Schizosaccharomyces pombe: one gene and its partners. The protein of the gene in region 2 purifies or fractionates together with the protein of the main gene of each other region. This does not show direct contact. Each region holds a gene or a part of one and is shown on either strand. Other genes may lie near its edges. The genes, in order: rng8, myo51 and cam1.

Region 1 (4,121 bases), on a different chromosome or scaffold from region 2:
TTGCAAATATAATCTAAGTAAGGTTCTTTAATAGCTATATGGCTTAGTACCACCTCAGTAGACAAAATTACATTCATTGGTCTTACAAAGCATTCTACCACTACTTGCATAAACGTGGCTTTATTGACTTTGTGCTTAATGAATATTTAATTGATCGGGATTGCGAAGAAGTGTTAATCTATTTTTCGATTTTTTAAAAAAGTTTGGAGTCCTAGAATACGATTTCCCTATTAAAATGTCAGAAATGATCGTGCTTCCTCATAAAGTGTAAGTAGCTATTTGTCGTTCATTCAGCTTCCCTTAATTATATTTATAAATGATTTGCTAATACCTGTAATATGTAGAACTGTGAAAGTTCCTTTAGCCAGTCGAGTGGACGCTGAACGATGTTTGCAAGTGTTAGCTCCAGATCGTGAGTTGAAAGAGGAACTAGTGCAAAGAAATCTTTTTGTTGACGACAACTATTTGGTTGTGAACTATTCTTGCTCTTCAGCGAGGATGACAAGAGTAACTGTAAATTCCTTGTTTGAGAACCTTTATTTAATCATTGACACTATGCATGAATTGAGCTCATTATGATAAAGCTGTGCTTCTAAAGATGAATCTTATTTTATAAGAAAAATGCGATCCTTCTATTACAGTAACACAAGTTATTTTTATGTCGAACAATGACTGAAGAGTATTTATTGTCTAAGCAAAAAAATAAAATAAATAATGATTTCTGCCCCCTCCCTTTCTTTTTACTAGTTTTTCAAGTTCTATATTATTTCTGCTGTATCTTGATATAATTGATTCTCCTTGCTATATACCTTTTAAACTAAACTAATTTACAATTAAAAGTGACCAAATATCTGTTCATGGCTTAAAAGATAGTATAAATATTACCAGCACCTGAAGCTTCACCAAAAAAAATAATAACGCTTTTAGCTCTCATTCAGGATAGATTTGTTAGAGCTAGTGGTGAGAGTAGCAAACTCACTCTGGCTGGTATCCAATTCATAATCAGTTTCATTAATAATACCGTCGGTATCGTCATCATTGTCATAATCACTGCTCTCAGCAAGGTGGGCAGTCATTTCGGCTAAACGATTTTGTGCGTTCTCTATGGCTGTGCTACTTTTTTCTAACGAGCTTTCCAGCTGTTCCATGTACTGTTGGATGAACTCGGAATAGATATCAGCATCCTTTTCAGCCTTCTCGAGTGCATGCATAATTTTCTCCTTTTCACTATTGCTATTGAACATTGAATCTTTTAGTGGTTTATCAGCAATCTTAGCATCAGACACCTGTTTTGTCAAAGTCCTTTCCACTTCTTCAAATGTGTCTTGTAATGTCCTTATTTCAGCATCCAACTGAGGGTCATGCTTCAAGCATTCATTCCTGAGCTCTTCATACTCTTCTTCTAAAGCTTCTTTTTGCTTTTCGTACTGTTCGGTCTCAGAATTCGCCCGCTCCGTTTCAGCTTCCAATCTTTCAATCTCTAGCTTTAATTGCTGCTGCTCTTCCAATAGGTCGGTTATTTGTCTTTCGAATTCTTCTTGGATTTTTTGTTCTTCTTTAGCTGCCCGCTGTTTCCGATTTACCATACTGGAAACAGACGCCTTTTGCATTTTAAGAGAATCATAAACATTTAGCAAGTTATTCTTCGCTGACTCCAGCTCCTTCCTTTTCTTTCGCTCTTGCATAAGTAAAATAGAAACCTTGTCTCCTTCTTTCTTTAGTCTGTCGATTTCGTTTTGCATAGTAGCAATCAATTGACCAGAAGACGGTTTTCTAGATCCTGTTTTTGCATGGTCATGAGGTACTCCTCTACCAATATACGTTGCCTCAATATGATCTGTCAATTTTTCTAAATCATTTGCCATATCTTGGAGCGTCGAAACTTCTTCCTTTCTATTTTCTGGGATCGCTATATTAGCGTTTGCTTGAACTATTATTTACTTATTTCTCTTACCAATATTATCATGAACTTGCTCGATTTCATGTTCTAATTTTTCGGATCCCTCTAAACCCATTTTTTACATTAAATAAAAGAAAGAGAAATAAATATGAATTAGACTTGCTTCATTGCAAAGGATAAGTTGCATCCTTATTTTTCATTCATTGTCCTAAAGCATTCATTTATTGCACGGTAAGTCTCAGTTGGACTCGATAAACGGTTTAAGAGGGTGTATCAATCATTTAGATGAATGCCAAGATTTGAAGAAAATAGTATAATTATGGAATTATGGAACAAATGATTATTATTCTACATTATGTGTATAGACACAAAAATTTACTTTTAACAAGTCTTTCTCTTTAGTTTACATCCCACTCTTAGAAGACCATGGTTTATTTTAATAATAAAATATGCCATTCTATCATCGATGAAAATTGAGATTTGTATAATAAATAGTTAAATTTTAGTGCGCCAAAAATTAAGGGCTCATTTATGCTTTATACAGACTTAGTTTTTATAAACGTTTGCTATAAGTAACAGCATTACATAAATAGCAGAGGGCTAAATGCTGGCTAGATAAATATGAATGTAAAGTATGTTAAGAAATATTGAAAGATTACTCTCATTTCCAATGCAGGATTAAATGAAGTATATGAACAGATTTTGCATATATACCAAAAAACTCCAATAAACAGAGTGGTGATTAGCCACAGATACATTTTTTCTGTCTAGGTATGAACAGAACTTTATTTTATCAAAAGATGGTGCATTAAACATTTAGCTTTTATTTCTCCTTGGCTTTCCAATGAAATCCCACTGCGACCCAGGAAAAACAAGCTTTCTAGGAAGTGTTATCTGTAGCGGAAGGCTCTTTCGTTTCCTCTGATTTCACAGACTCCAAAAACGACGGTCGCCAACGATTCAAAAGCTTTGCGGCGGAAGCTTTAACATCTACATTCTCTTTCCACATCGTCTCAAGAATATCAAGGCATTTTTCACGTACAGGTTAGTCGAAACATTATTAAATACTGAAAAGTCATGAAACCGAGCTTCGTCTTATCGGGATCAAGACATACAAATTTAATTTTGTCAACTATAGCATCGGTGAGTTCTGGCAATTCAGACATAAATATCATAAAAACTTTATCTTTTGCCTCTAAGTATGGTAAAATGCTGTCTATTACTTTAAGGGCCCATTTTTCATATTGTGGACCTTCCCACTTAACATCCTCATATTCATGACAATCCGGATTTTCAAGCATTAGTCGATCATTATACCATTCCTCGGATAACCAGTTCAATATTAAATTTGTACTGGAACGCCAGTTAGATGCAACGTAAGTAAAAAGCTGCCCTCGAACAAATGAAGACAAAGTGAAAGAAGCATCTCCAGATTCCTCACCAGACGTTACAGGCTGATAATTCAATAAGCCTCGCGTACAAAGTCGTGGTAAGAGAATTGCCCAGTGACGCTTATCCCATACCGTATTATCCACATTTTCCAACGTTAAATTTTGAAGGTTAGAAGAAGAAACTATGCTTCTTTCAAATTGAGGAGCATAATCAAATAATCTGGATAAGGCACCGTGAAAGTATTCTAGAATAGCCATCGGGGACAGCGAATCTGGAGTGGGTAATTCAAACGCATCAGTAACGACATTGGAGGGAGCACTTCCCTCTAGTCGAGCTGCTTCACGTTCTACACTAGCATTGATAGTCTGAACATCTACCTCAGGCGGTTCATAATCCTCGTCCTCGTCTTCATCAACTTGTTGATCAAGACCAAGGGATTCAGGCTCAGAGAGAGAGCGCACTCTCTCTCTCAACATATTAATTTGCTGATGAAAGTAGTTTTTGTCTATCTTAAGAAGAGAAGTAAGTACAATTTCAGTAGCCACTTCAACCGGAATTGAAGTTACATCAAAATTTGCAAGAGGATTTATAGCAGTTTGTGAAGCAAATATGCTGATTAAGGGATTATTTTGCAAACCATCGTGAGAGCTAAGTTGGGGTTGCATTCTTTCTACAAGACTTTGTACAGCAGAAGACTTAACACGCTTAGAGGCAGCACTAATATTTCCCTCATATTGCCGTTTCTTCAAACTTTCATCGACTTTGGTATGATAAATTTGTCCGGAAAGATAAGCGTGAATTTTTTCGACGGAAGAAGAAGATGCACCTG
Region 2 (7,152 bases):
AAACGGAATGCATAGGAATCAAATTGCTGTTGTCTGGGCATCCGATGAATGTATAGTGGAGTCTATTTATTGGTTTTCATCGGCTTTATGTTCTGAAGACCCGCCCAAGAGTGCTTTGTTAAATTTGCTTAAACAGTTGATTGCATTTTACAGACGCTGTTTCGCTGTCCATTTTGAATTTGTATCACCCATGATGATTTTACTTTTTATTATATCCGACTGTTGCATACATTCGTTAAAAGAAATTCAGCCTTTTAAATGTCCCTCAATCATGGTCAAGGATTTGGAGAATTCATTATTACAGTCGAACATCAGAAATGTAGGATATGAAAAAAAAAATCTTTACTACATATCATCTGCCTTTTCAAATCTTTTACACTGTCGTTATTTCAACTGTAACGATCGTCTGAGAAGTTTCTATTACCGATTTTCTTCTTGGTTATTTCATCAAACGCTTGCTTGTGCTAAAGAAGTTGAATCAGAGCGTGCTCCAACGTCTTACTTAACTTCCTGTTTACCAAGTATTAAGGTGATACTAGCAAGGGTGCTTGAAAGTTCTCCAGCTTTTGGATTCATTGAGCGGAACGAATTAGAACAATTGAGTTATCATTTCAGAATTTGTGAAAAGTTTTTTAAAGAATCTTCAGAAAATAAAATGTTAAACCTTTTTGAGGACTACAATGAATTCGGATTATGCAAATCTTTCATTTGTTTATTTAAAAGATTGAACGAAGACATTATAGGGCCAAAGTTAAATATAAACCCACCCGACTATACTACTCATCCATTTTCGGAATCGATCAAACGATTTTATCAAATATCCAAAATACTAAATTTATTGCTTTCCTGAAGTTACTATATGATGCTTTGAATTAACAGAGAATGATAAGAATATAGTATTAATGAGTACTAATATAAATTAAAAATATTGATCGGGTGTAACGTTTAATGATACTTGATAAAAAGCTTATAATGTAGCTTTAGCCAATAAGTTTATCAACTCTGAAAGTCGAAGCTCTTCGTATATATGATTATTTTCAAGTGATAATAAAGGGTTTTTAGAAGCAGCTATAGGAATAGCGTGCCCATTAGTGTTTGTGATTTTACCATTTGTAAAACCAGATTGCTTATACTTACAAGATAATGCCTCTACGGCTTTTGAAAAGGATTTTGGTAGAGGATTTTCACCAGCGCATGGCTGATACCTATTTAGGAGGCATACAACTTCAAATGGCGAAAGTAAATTACAAACAGAGAGAATAACATCCAAATCGTTTGCATCGTTTTTACGAAGGCAAAATACCAAAGGAGACTGCATTAAAGGCAATAGTGACGAGTTAACATAACTAATACCCTTTTGATGACACCAGTTAATCAACAGCGAGGCATTATAGGAAACCTGAGAAGCAGATTTCCAAGTGTACGGTGACCGGCTAGAATGTTAGTGATAGTTTTTTTGATAGCTGCCTTACCCATGAATTAATGTTTGAAAGGCACGTTGTCCTATATGTTGAAGCATGTGAGATATAGTCAATTCCAATAAATTTGGTTGCAAGGCAGAAGATATTAATAATTTGTGTATTAAATTCATTCTGTCTATCAACTCATAAATATTCATTCCAGTAGGTGTTGTGTTCTCATCAGCCGCATCGATAAACTCTGGTAAACATTTTGAATTTAAAAGAGCATTAATCGATCCCTCGGTACAACAACTTAATAGTTTCTGGACCAAGGAATGAAATGAATTTTCCAGATTAGAAAAATGTTTTGAGAATTTCAAAATCAACGGATTCCATAAATCCTCTACCACACTTTGCTTTCCATGTGAATTAATAGATAAAAGATGCACTAAAAATGAACGAATTTTGTGTAACGTTGCGAACCAATACAAAACCGCTTGTAGAGGTTTTTCATAGAAATCTAGAGTTTTATCATTTTCAATAACTGTACCGTCAACGATTTTAGTGAAATAGGAACACAATTGGCTCAAAAACTCACTGATTTGTGTCTTCAAATCAAGGCTAATACCTGCAAAAATTAGAAAGTTTACTACCCCAGCAAAAAGTAGTGAGTTCTGATCCGTTTCTAACAACCTCATAACACCATCTTTGTAACCAACTGCATTAAACAAAGAAGAAACCGTGAGAGCTTGCTTAATTTGCTTTAAAAAAACAACCCTTTTCTCATACAATAAATCTTTAGTTTGTTTATTAACAACTTCATTAGGTAAGAGAGATGCATTTTCAACACCAACTAATTCAAGAAGCTGTTTGAGTTTTTTGTGGATGGAGAAGTATCTATCCATTGCGTAAAAAAGAACACGGGAAGGTAGTTGTTCAGTATCATATTCAAATTTTTCAGAAACTGTCATCTGTAAAGCTTGGTAATAATTCGACAAGTTCTCTCGGGCAGTTTGAGATTGAACAAATCCCAACTCCGATTTTTTGGCTGCCATATAAAGTTGCTGAGATGCTTGCCGAAGCTTTGATTCGGCTTGCAAAAGTTGCACAAGCTGTTCATCGTTGCTAGTAAAATCCATACTAACGGGTTCAGAAAAGTCACTGGGCTTCTTAATTAAACACTTCCATTTCGATAGTGAGTTATTTAAAATATTAAGCTTATTCCTTAAAACTGTTACTTTTTTGCTATTTGATTTCAACTGTTTGGATACTTCGGTTATAGAAGCCTGCAGGTTCTTTTGCTTCTCATAAAGAATGCTAGTCCTGCCCGCCGAATCTTGTAATCTGCGAAGATATCTTCTGGTTAATACAGAGCGCGACACACATTGCAGAGCAATAACTGACTTCTTCAAACCTCTAAAAGTTTTTCTTGCGTTGTACGCTCGCCAAAATTTTGCAAGAAGTGTAGCAGAACTTTCCCTTAACTCATTTATATAACGAGAATATGCGATATTCTTCCGAACTATTGATTGAATAACAATAGCACATTTGATAAGGGACAAATATCTTTTGCGTTGGATATAAGATCGCCAATGAGCTTGAATAAGAATGGCTGCTCGTTCAATTTTTTCTCGCTCAAAACGTTGACGAGTTAACCAGCCCATAATAACCGATTGTAGTTTAATGATAAATTTTACAGTTCTTTGATACTCCTTCCGAGTAAAGAAGCCTCTTATAGCAGACTGTAATAAAACTGTCGATTTGCTACATGTAGCTCGATGGGCTTCTTCAAAATTTCCAATAACGTTTGATCTGAAAAATATTTTGGAGCGACCAACTTGAAAGTTTAGGTTATCATGAGGAATTACAGAGTTAACAATATTAAGAGTCAACTTTTTATTATCTTCCTCCCATTCTTTAGAAGACAACAAAATGCGGAATCGATGAGCAAATTCCTCATACGAAAATCGAGCAGGAAACCCTAACGAGGATATCCTAATTGTTTCAAAAACACCGCAGGCCCTGAGTTGTGAGAGCACCATCGGCGGGGAGAACGTCCAAGGAAGCTTTTCTTCATTAGGCTTAATGCATCGAATGTAATGAACATTAGTAGAGGAAACAGTTGTCATTAATTGAGACAAAGAAGATTTAAACATTGATGAAAGTGTAGGTTTCCTGCTTATAGCAGTCTTTCTAGGATTTTTATTTTGAGAAGAAACCAACTGCATATAAAAGTCTAGCAGATAAGTTATAAACTCATTTTTTGAGTTTTGTAGTAAACTTATAAACTCATCAGGTATGGCATCCGAATTTTTTGCTAAAAAATCGTGTACTTGATAACTAACGTCCAAAGCATAATGTTTAACCATAAATGAACCATCATTAAATCTAGATTTTTTATAGAACTGAGAGTGTTTTGTAGGAAGTTGATTATTTAATTTTTGTAAAAACGATTGGTGGTTCCCTGAAGGTAAGCGACATTCCTCATCCAACAACGAGAGTATCCCTAATTTGTCTTCGATTAAGGATATGCAACCTTGATTGTCAGAATATTCTATAAGTCGCCAGTCTAATCCTTCTTTAACATATTCTTCCTGTTCTAGTTTAAAAACGTGCTTATTAAATTCTTGTTGAAGTTTTTCATTAGCATAATTAATACAGAATTGCTCCATCGAATTTTTTTCGAAATGTTCGAAGCCATAAATATCAACAACACCAATATATTTGTAGGCAGCTCTTTTAACTTTGTTATGGTCAAGTGATGCATTAATCATGTGAACAATCCACAAAAACAGTGCGGAATATAAATATTTAGCGACAGAGTCTCTTATGCTAATAGCATGTTCCAAAGTTGATGAGGTAATAATGGTTTCGGATCTAGTTTTCAGTTGTCTTTTAACAATCCATTTAGCAAGCGTAGATGAATCGACACCAAGTAATAAAGCAGCTTTCTGAAGATACCCATCACCGGGCTGTATTTGTGCTTCATTTCTTGTTGCACAGACTTCAATGTTACCAAGGTGGAGTAAGGCAGCAAGTAGACAAAATACATCCTCCTGCCTTGACTCTGAAATACCAATAGTTGAAAGAGCTCTGCAAGTTATAGTAAAGTCATTACTGTCGTCAACGCCAGATATTTCATCACAATTTCCTTGTGATAAATAATTAAAAGAAGACGCAGACTCAAGAAACCATTTATCCCTTTGTTCCTCTGTACATCCAGTAATTAGCTGATAAAAAATGTGATAATTTCTTTCCCCTTTAAGTAAAGAGACTACTCGGGATCTTTCAAGTAAATATGTGTTTACATTTGCTCCGGTAATCAACAAGTTTTCATCAAAGCTTATGGTAACATATTTACCAAAACGTGAAGAGTTATCATTTCTGATAGTTTTTGCGTTACCAAATGCTTCCATAATAGGATTAGTAGCGAGAACTTGATTCTCAACAGAGCGTTTAACAACACCATTATGATCTACTCCCTGTACCGAGGTCAAGTAACGCATAATATACTTAGCAGCAACTGTTTTGCCTGCACCTGATTCTCCAGACACAATAATAGTCTGATTCTTGGAATCTGTAGTTAAAGCATGGTAACAAGAACTTGCTATAGAGTATAGGTGAGGAACTTTGGCTGCTTCGGGATCTTTATGGAAATGTTTTATCAGATTGTCGTTGTAAAACTCGGGAAGATTTTGGTAAGGGTTTATTGAGACAAGCACGATTCCCGAATATGTGTAAATTTGCTTGTTATTGTAACGATTATGTAAGGCATGAAGGACAGATGGCTCATTTAAATAAGGAAGATTCGTTAAATCAGAAGGCGACTCTGATTGACCGATGTTTCGATTTTGTAACTGTTGGTAATTCACTGTTTCTAAAACACCGCTGCTCTTTGCAACAGTTGCTACGACTTTACCTCCTCCATTATCTTTTATTTCGATTAATCGAGCAGCATCCCAATGACCGTTATTATTGGAAACCCAACATTCCCTAATTTGTAACGATTGTTAATAGAAGGGTGTTTACTTTTTGAGAATTTACTTACGAGCCTACCGATAATCTTGCATGACTCATAGCAATTTTTAATTACTTTCTTTTGAAAATAAAATATCTTCTGTGGTATAAAAGGAAAACTATATCAAAAGAAGGAATAAAGTTATAAATCGGGTAACTTGAGTTTCGATGTGCTATGTACACAAATAAATATTTACGAGCAAACACGCTAGAGCGTATCGCTACGCCAAACTTCCCAACGCCTAATTTCTTTAATTCGAAAGCAAAACAAAGAAAATTGGTATTTTAGGGTTTTGAATTTTTATTGCTTTAAGCGGGTCTTTTAAATTAGTCTTTTAATCTCTGTTTGTTCTCATGAATTGTTGTATCTTAGATTTATTTATCTATCAATTTTATATAGCAATAAAAAAGGTATTGATCTTTTAATCCAATATTGCCTTGAAAATATGATGGACTGTGGGTTTTGATAATTTATTTAAACGGAATGAACAATGTAGCTTCATAGTTCTTATAATCAACAATCAATTTTACAAGGAACAACCCGCAATGAGTTAAGCTTAACTTAGTCCCTATGTTTCAATTGAAAGTTGTAATTGTTGAAGAATGTTGCAAAACTTATGGAATATATCAGTTTCAATTAGTTTCATTTCATTAGAGTTGAATTTACTCAAAACATAATCTGAAACGTCCTCCCTATTCCTTGACTCACAACGTCCAATTCCCAATCCAATCCTGTAAAAACTCTTTGAATTAGTAATGAAATTAAATGTGTACCTTACTTCTTTTCCTAGGAATTCTTGACAAGAGCGAATCCCATTGTGTCCCCTAGCAATGTTAATAAGTATTGCTTTGGATATTACTTACCTGTGAGAGCCTCCGGGCAAACGAAGCTTGACTTTGCCTAAATCTAACTCCAATTCGTCATGCACAACTACATATACGATTTTGTCTAATGGCGAAACTTTGCGCACAAAATCATTAGATATCTTTTTCAACTGTTTCCCGGAATCATTCATGTATGAGGTGGACAAAACCAAGGTGAGATTTTCTTTGGTACTAGGCCAATTTTTTGGAAATGCCATGCTGTCAGCGTACATACTCACCATTAATTTCCCCAGTGAGTGTCTCGATTTGACGAACGCTGATCCTGGATTTCCTAAACCATAGATCTTTCGGATTAGTATCCCATTTTGGAAAGACTTTTACGGATCATAACAATTTTTATAGAAACTCTTCTTTTAAGGTCGCAATGGTTAACTTCTGCTTTGTTTTTCCTGGCAATTAAAATCTTAGGAAGATGTTTTATTGCCATACGGAACTTTGGTACTTATTTTAAAAAAAATTTTTTTTGATTGAAAAAAAGCTTTAGCATCCTCAACAGAATTTTCAACTTACCAAGAATTGTGTTTGCACCATGGACTTTTTTCTGAGAAAATTTTTATTTAGGCACAAGGTTTTATTAAGATTAATAAATACTTTCCAACTGATTGGTTTTGGCCTACTCTTTGGTATTTAGCACGGTTAGCTCCCCACGAAAATAATATTTTAGTTTAGATTAATAAAACAATGTTTCAAACTACGAAGAAACTTGGAAACCACCTATTTCATGTTTTAGCCATTTAATTATAAGGAGACTACTTATCTTAACTTTTAGTAACGTATTATTACGAAAATTAATAAAAAGTAATCAAAGTTATATGATGGAGGAGGTAATAATGCATTTTAATATAGGTAT
Region 3 (4,261 bases), on a different chromosome or scaffold from region 2:
GGCAGTGGTTTGACAATTTTTAACCTTCTTCAAAATATCAGCTTGGAAAGCTGCATAGTCGGCTTTTGTTTTGAGTTGTCGTTGATCAGCTTGCTTGGAGCGGTTTGCACTTGCTGAGTTTTTATCAACGATGTCAAACAAGTCCATGGCATTTGCCAAGTCAGAGTCAATTTCGGCTTGTCGCATAGCTTCTTTGGAACTTTCTAGTGATTCTTCCTTCGCAGCTGCTTCACTTGCTTTAATGGCTTTTTCGAAATTTCTTTCCTGAATTTTTTGTTGGATACGAGTCATTTTGTTAGAGCCTTGATCATTTTGGCTAGATGAAGAGGATTTTTGGGATACTGAATGAGAATCATTTTGCAAGGATTCTTTGTTTTCTTCTTCATCTTCATCCTCTTCGTCGTCAAATCTCTTTTTTGGCTTGGAAGAGGATTGACTATCCTTCCCTAAGGGGAAATCAAACTCTGCAGGCTTTGCAGGATCTTCTACTAAAAAGTCCTCTTCATTTCAGTTAATAAACATGTAGAATCATATATAGCTTACCCCAGCTATCCATTTGGAATTCACTTGATGGTTTTTACAGTCTACTAAAAAGGTATGTGGTTCAATAAGGAATTTATTGTAGTTGCACAACAAAATTACGAGATGAATTGAGTAGGAAAATATTCAAACACACGTACTGATAGAGTTCAACAATAAATACTTTAAATTCTCGATCATTCTTATTATTTTATTTTTTATATGTTTATTTTTATTTTTATTTTTTTATTTTTTTTCTATGAAGGATATGAGTACCTCGAATTATTAAAAGTTAAACTTCCCATTTCACAGCATTTTATTAAATCAATTGAGATTTATAAATTTGAATCTTTTAAGGAATTATACTCAAATTTTCATGGTCATTCTGTAGAGATGTCTTTAAACAGGAAGTGCAAAAATTTAAAATTATGAGAATAAACTATAAAATCTTTAAAAACAAAAGACGTCTAAATTTATGATTATTAAAGACAAAAAAATGCTCAATTTGAATTTATTTTTTTATTTTTTTTTGTGTTACATCAATAACAACAAATATTGTTTATTCGATTAAAATATCCGTTCAGACTAAAATCAATAAATTCGGCTACGGTCATTGTATCAGATGTTGAGGTTCTGGATTTTTATACATTGAATAAATCATTTAGAAAAGAATTAATATCGAAATATATACAGGCAATGAAATCCTGCTTGAATAATATATTGTTATTTACTTTTTCAGTTTTCCTTCTTCATTTGAGTGTTCAACTAGAAAAATTATCAGATCAAAATTGGCATATACAAAAAATACAAAAGCAGATTATGCTACACAACAAAAATGCAATTCATAATAAACGTGCAAAAAAACCTTTTAATGAACTGCACTTATCAAAAATGCTTTTGTTTAGCAAATTTTTCAAAGCTATGTCATTTTGCTCAATTATTTGGAGACTTTAAACCGTGACAGTGTTTGTAAATCTGCTCAATAATTAATTTTCCATAAATCAAAATGAAAACAATATTTTCATATCATGAATAATAATATCACTAACTCAACCTCATAGAGGAAAGTGAAAAACACGATTTTCTGTTTACATTCAGCAAAAAATTGCGCTGTAATAACCATTTCCAAATACTGCATTTACAAATATTTTTTGTTAAATCCTTTTGCGATTTAAACATCGAGTACGATATATAAGTTGAATGTCGACAACGTTCCGTTGCGCTATAGCATACTACGTTGTGTATCACTAATTATCACATGTTTGATTTGCTCTGTCAAGCTGTACATGATAAGTTACTTAGGTAGATTACTAAGAGTTATAAAATGAATAACAAAAAAAATAATAGAATGCTTAAATTTTATGAATTGAAATAAACAAAACCTCGTTTCTCTATTCACTTTTATGCTAATTCGGTGATAGGTAACAATATAACCTCTATATCAGAATATCATTCTAAGTTACTAAATGTATTTACCTGTGTACCATAATACAATAGGTCACAAGTAAACCACACGGCAGTTCTAGGTGTCGTTAAATAGATACCAATAAATGCGTAGCTGACATTGAAAAAGTTCCTTCATCCGCCGTTTAGTGGTTTTAGTGCGGTTTATAGCAAGTACGTTACTGGTTTGTTAGAGCATATACGATAATGTAATAAACTCTCATTGTTTGTTGACATCACTGTTGATGGTAGGACTTGCAACATTAGGAAGCGACAACGGTAGTCCTCATTTCTCCAAGGCACTTTAACGTAACTAGAGCAAAACACTAACCGCCAAAAATAAAGGTTAAAAAAAGGAATAGAAGGACTTTAGAGTTACTGATTTTTACCAGAAAATGGTATGTTTATTATATTGTTTGGACATATTCCGATTTTTCCTTTGAAGATTGACTAACAATCGTATGAACGGATGACACTCAGAAAATGATTTCTGAAGTCGTCTACCGTATCGTACATTATTACAGACTACCCGTAACCTTACAGATGAGCAGATTGCAGAATTCCGTGAAGCCTTTTCACTGTTTGATCGTGATCAGGATGGAAATATCACGTCCAATGAATTGGGTGTAGTTATGAGATCGTTAGGTCAATCGCCTACTGCCGCCGAATTACAAGATATGATTAATGAGGTCGATGCCGATGGTAATGGCACAATTGATTTTACCGAATTTTTGACTATGATGGCCCGAAAAATGAAGGATACCGACAACGAAGAGGAAGTTCGCGAAGCCTTTAAAGTCTTCGATAAAGATGGAAATGGATACATTACAGTCGAGGAGTTGACTCATGTGCTTACAAGTCTTGGTGAACGTTTGTCTCAAGAAGAAGTAGCCGATATGATACGTGAAGCCGACACCGATGGCGATGGTGTAATCAACTACGAAGAATTCTCTCGTGTCATTTCTTCCAAGTAGAAGGGTTGGAATTTCTGTGGAATATTTGTAAGCCTTAAAAAAATCAAAATATCCTTGCTGGGGTTTCCACCCTTTTAGTTCTTCTTTATAACCACTCTCCATCGCAATTTGGACAATCTCTTTACCAACTTAACCTCGGCTATTGTCCTTTACTTTTTTTTTCGTCTATGATTTTGAAAAACATTAGTTAGTGTATTACAACGTTTTGGTTGTTTATTTTGCTGGCCTAGGTGTGTCACAAAAGTAACTATGGTAGCATTTGTTGTTACCATTCATCTCATGATCGATCCTATGAATTTTAACGCTTCCTTTGTTTCAACACATAAAGGAATCCTTAAGTCTGGGAACATATACGTTATTGCTATGAGAATACCACGCACTTTTGCATTATTGCATCCTACAATGAATTATTAGAAGCTTCATCTGTCTGTTATATGATGCATTTGCTCGTACTAGTATGTGCCTAGTACTCGCTGTATACGTTGCATTTATGTCCTTGCAATTCCCATGCCCATTATTTAGCTCAATCTTCCTTTTCTTTTTTCCTTCAAGATTTACTGTTCATTATACTAGTCGATGTTAAAATTTTTAGCATTTTTCTAGTTATATGCACTTCTTGAAGCCGTTTTCTCACTCTGGTAGATATACGCTTTGTTTTGTACTTAATACATTACTTTATACAAATACATCTCTCAGTATGAAATTTTGTGCGGCACTTGTCGAAGCTAAGCTATACGTATTAACTAAACATAAATTCATAAATGACATCGTTTATTTTCTTTTTGCATTTCACGTAGTTATTCCGATCGTAAACAGAAATTCATCATTGGAATATGGACATTTCCTAAGAAGGAAGGCTCTGCGCCGGTAAAGTTCAAGTTAGTGAAGTTAAAACTTATCTAAAATTCAACATCATGGTACATATATATTCAAAAAGTTTTTACAAAGTTATCAGTTCTAAACCTCAATGTCCTCCTACTTGCTATTCAAGCCAACCTAACTTCCTCTCACCATCAACCACCCGCTATATGGTTTCGTATATCCCTTCGCCGTCGAAAACTTGTACCTAACTATACGAAATTTTCTTCTTTAAAATTGCCAAAAAAAAAGCTTCGAGTTCTATACTGCGCTGTATTACATAACACTTTGGAATCAAGGGTTAGCAATTACCATAACTAAATTAATTATAGCTCTATGTCGAATGGAAATGATAATTCTCTAATTATCAAAAATATTGGGAATAATGAATTTAAATTTGTAGAAACGCTTCACGAATTATTACCAGAAGATATCACTTATGATGATTTGGGTTCATTACGACTAAG

Evidence for each region.
Region 1: the proteins of myo51 (region 2) and rng8 purify together in Schizosaccharomyces pombe (affinity purification with western blotting; 2 studies listed by BioGRID, with this or other methods). This does not show direct contact.
Region 3: the proteins of myo51 (region 2) and cam1 purify together in Schizosaccharomyces pombe (affinity purification with mass spectrometry, with the first as the bait; one study listed by BioGRID). This does not show direct contact.

The regions. Positions count from the first base shown.
Region 1 is NC_003424.3:3,852,846-3,856,966, forward strand, and holds rng8 (protein Rng8), read right to left. Parts: upstream 2,072-4,121; 5' UTR 2,016-2,071; coding exon 1,955-2,015; exon of another isoform or gene 1,901-1,954; coding exon 924-1,900; 3' UTR 726-923; downstream 1-725. Other genes in the region: transcriptional regulator Pcc1, read left to right, coding at 236-267, 345-579.
Region 2 is NC_003423.3:2,989,338-2,996,489, forward strand, and holds myo51 (myosin type V), read right to left. Parts: upstream 5,578-7,152; 5' UTR 5,478-5,577; coding exon 5,449-5,477; intron 5,394-5,448; coding exon 1,473-5,393; exon of another isoform or gene 1,434-1,472; coding exon 968-1,433; 3' UTR 851-967; downstream 1-850. Other genes in the region: telomerase regulator Est1, read left to right, coding at 1-850; peptidyl-tRNA hydrolase Pth1, read right to left, coding at 5,987-6,160, 6,197-6,242, 6,282-6,586, 6,634-6,729; protein mhf1, read left to right, coding at 7,115-7,126. UniProt on the Schizosaccharomyces pombe protein: Involved in cytokinesis.
Region 3 is NC_003424.3:1,442,573-1,446,833, forward strand, and holds cam1 (calmodulin Cam1), read left to right. Parts: upstream 1-2,277; 5' UTR 2,278-2,357; coding exon 2,358-2,360; intron 2,361-2,486; coding exon 2,487-2,936; 3' UTR 2,937-3,761; downstream 3,762-4,261. Other genes in the region: tif310 (translation initiation factor eIF3j (p35)), read right to left, coding at 1-500, 544-556; GARP complex subunit Vps53, read left to right, coding at 4,131-4,261. UniProt on the Schizosaccharomyces pombe protein: Calmodulin mediates the control of a large number of enzymes, ion channels and other proteins by Ca(2+). Among the enzymes to be stimulated by the calmodulin-Ca(2+) complex are a number of protein kinases and phosphatases.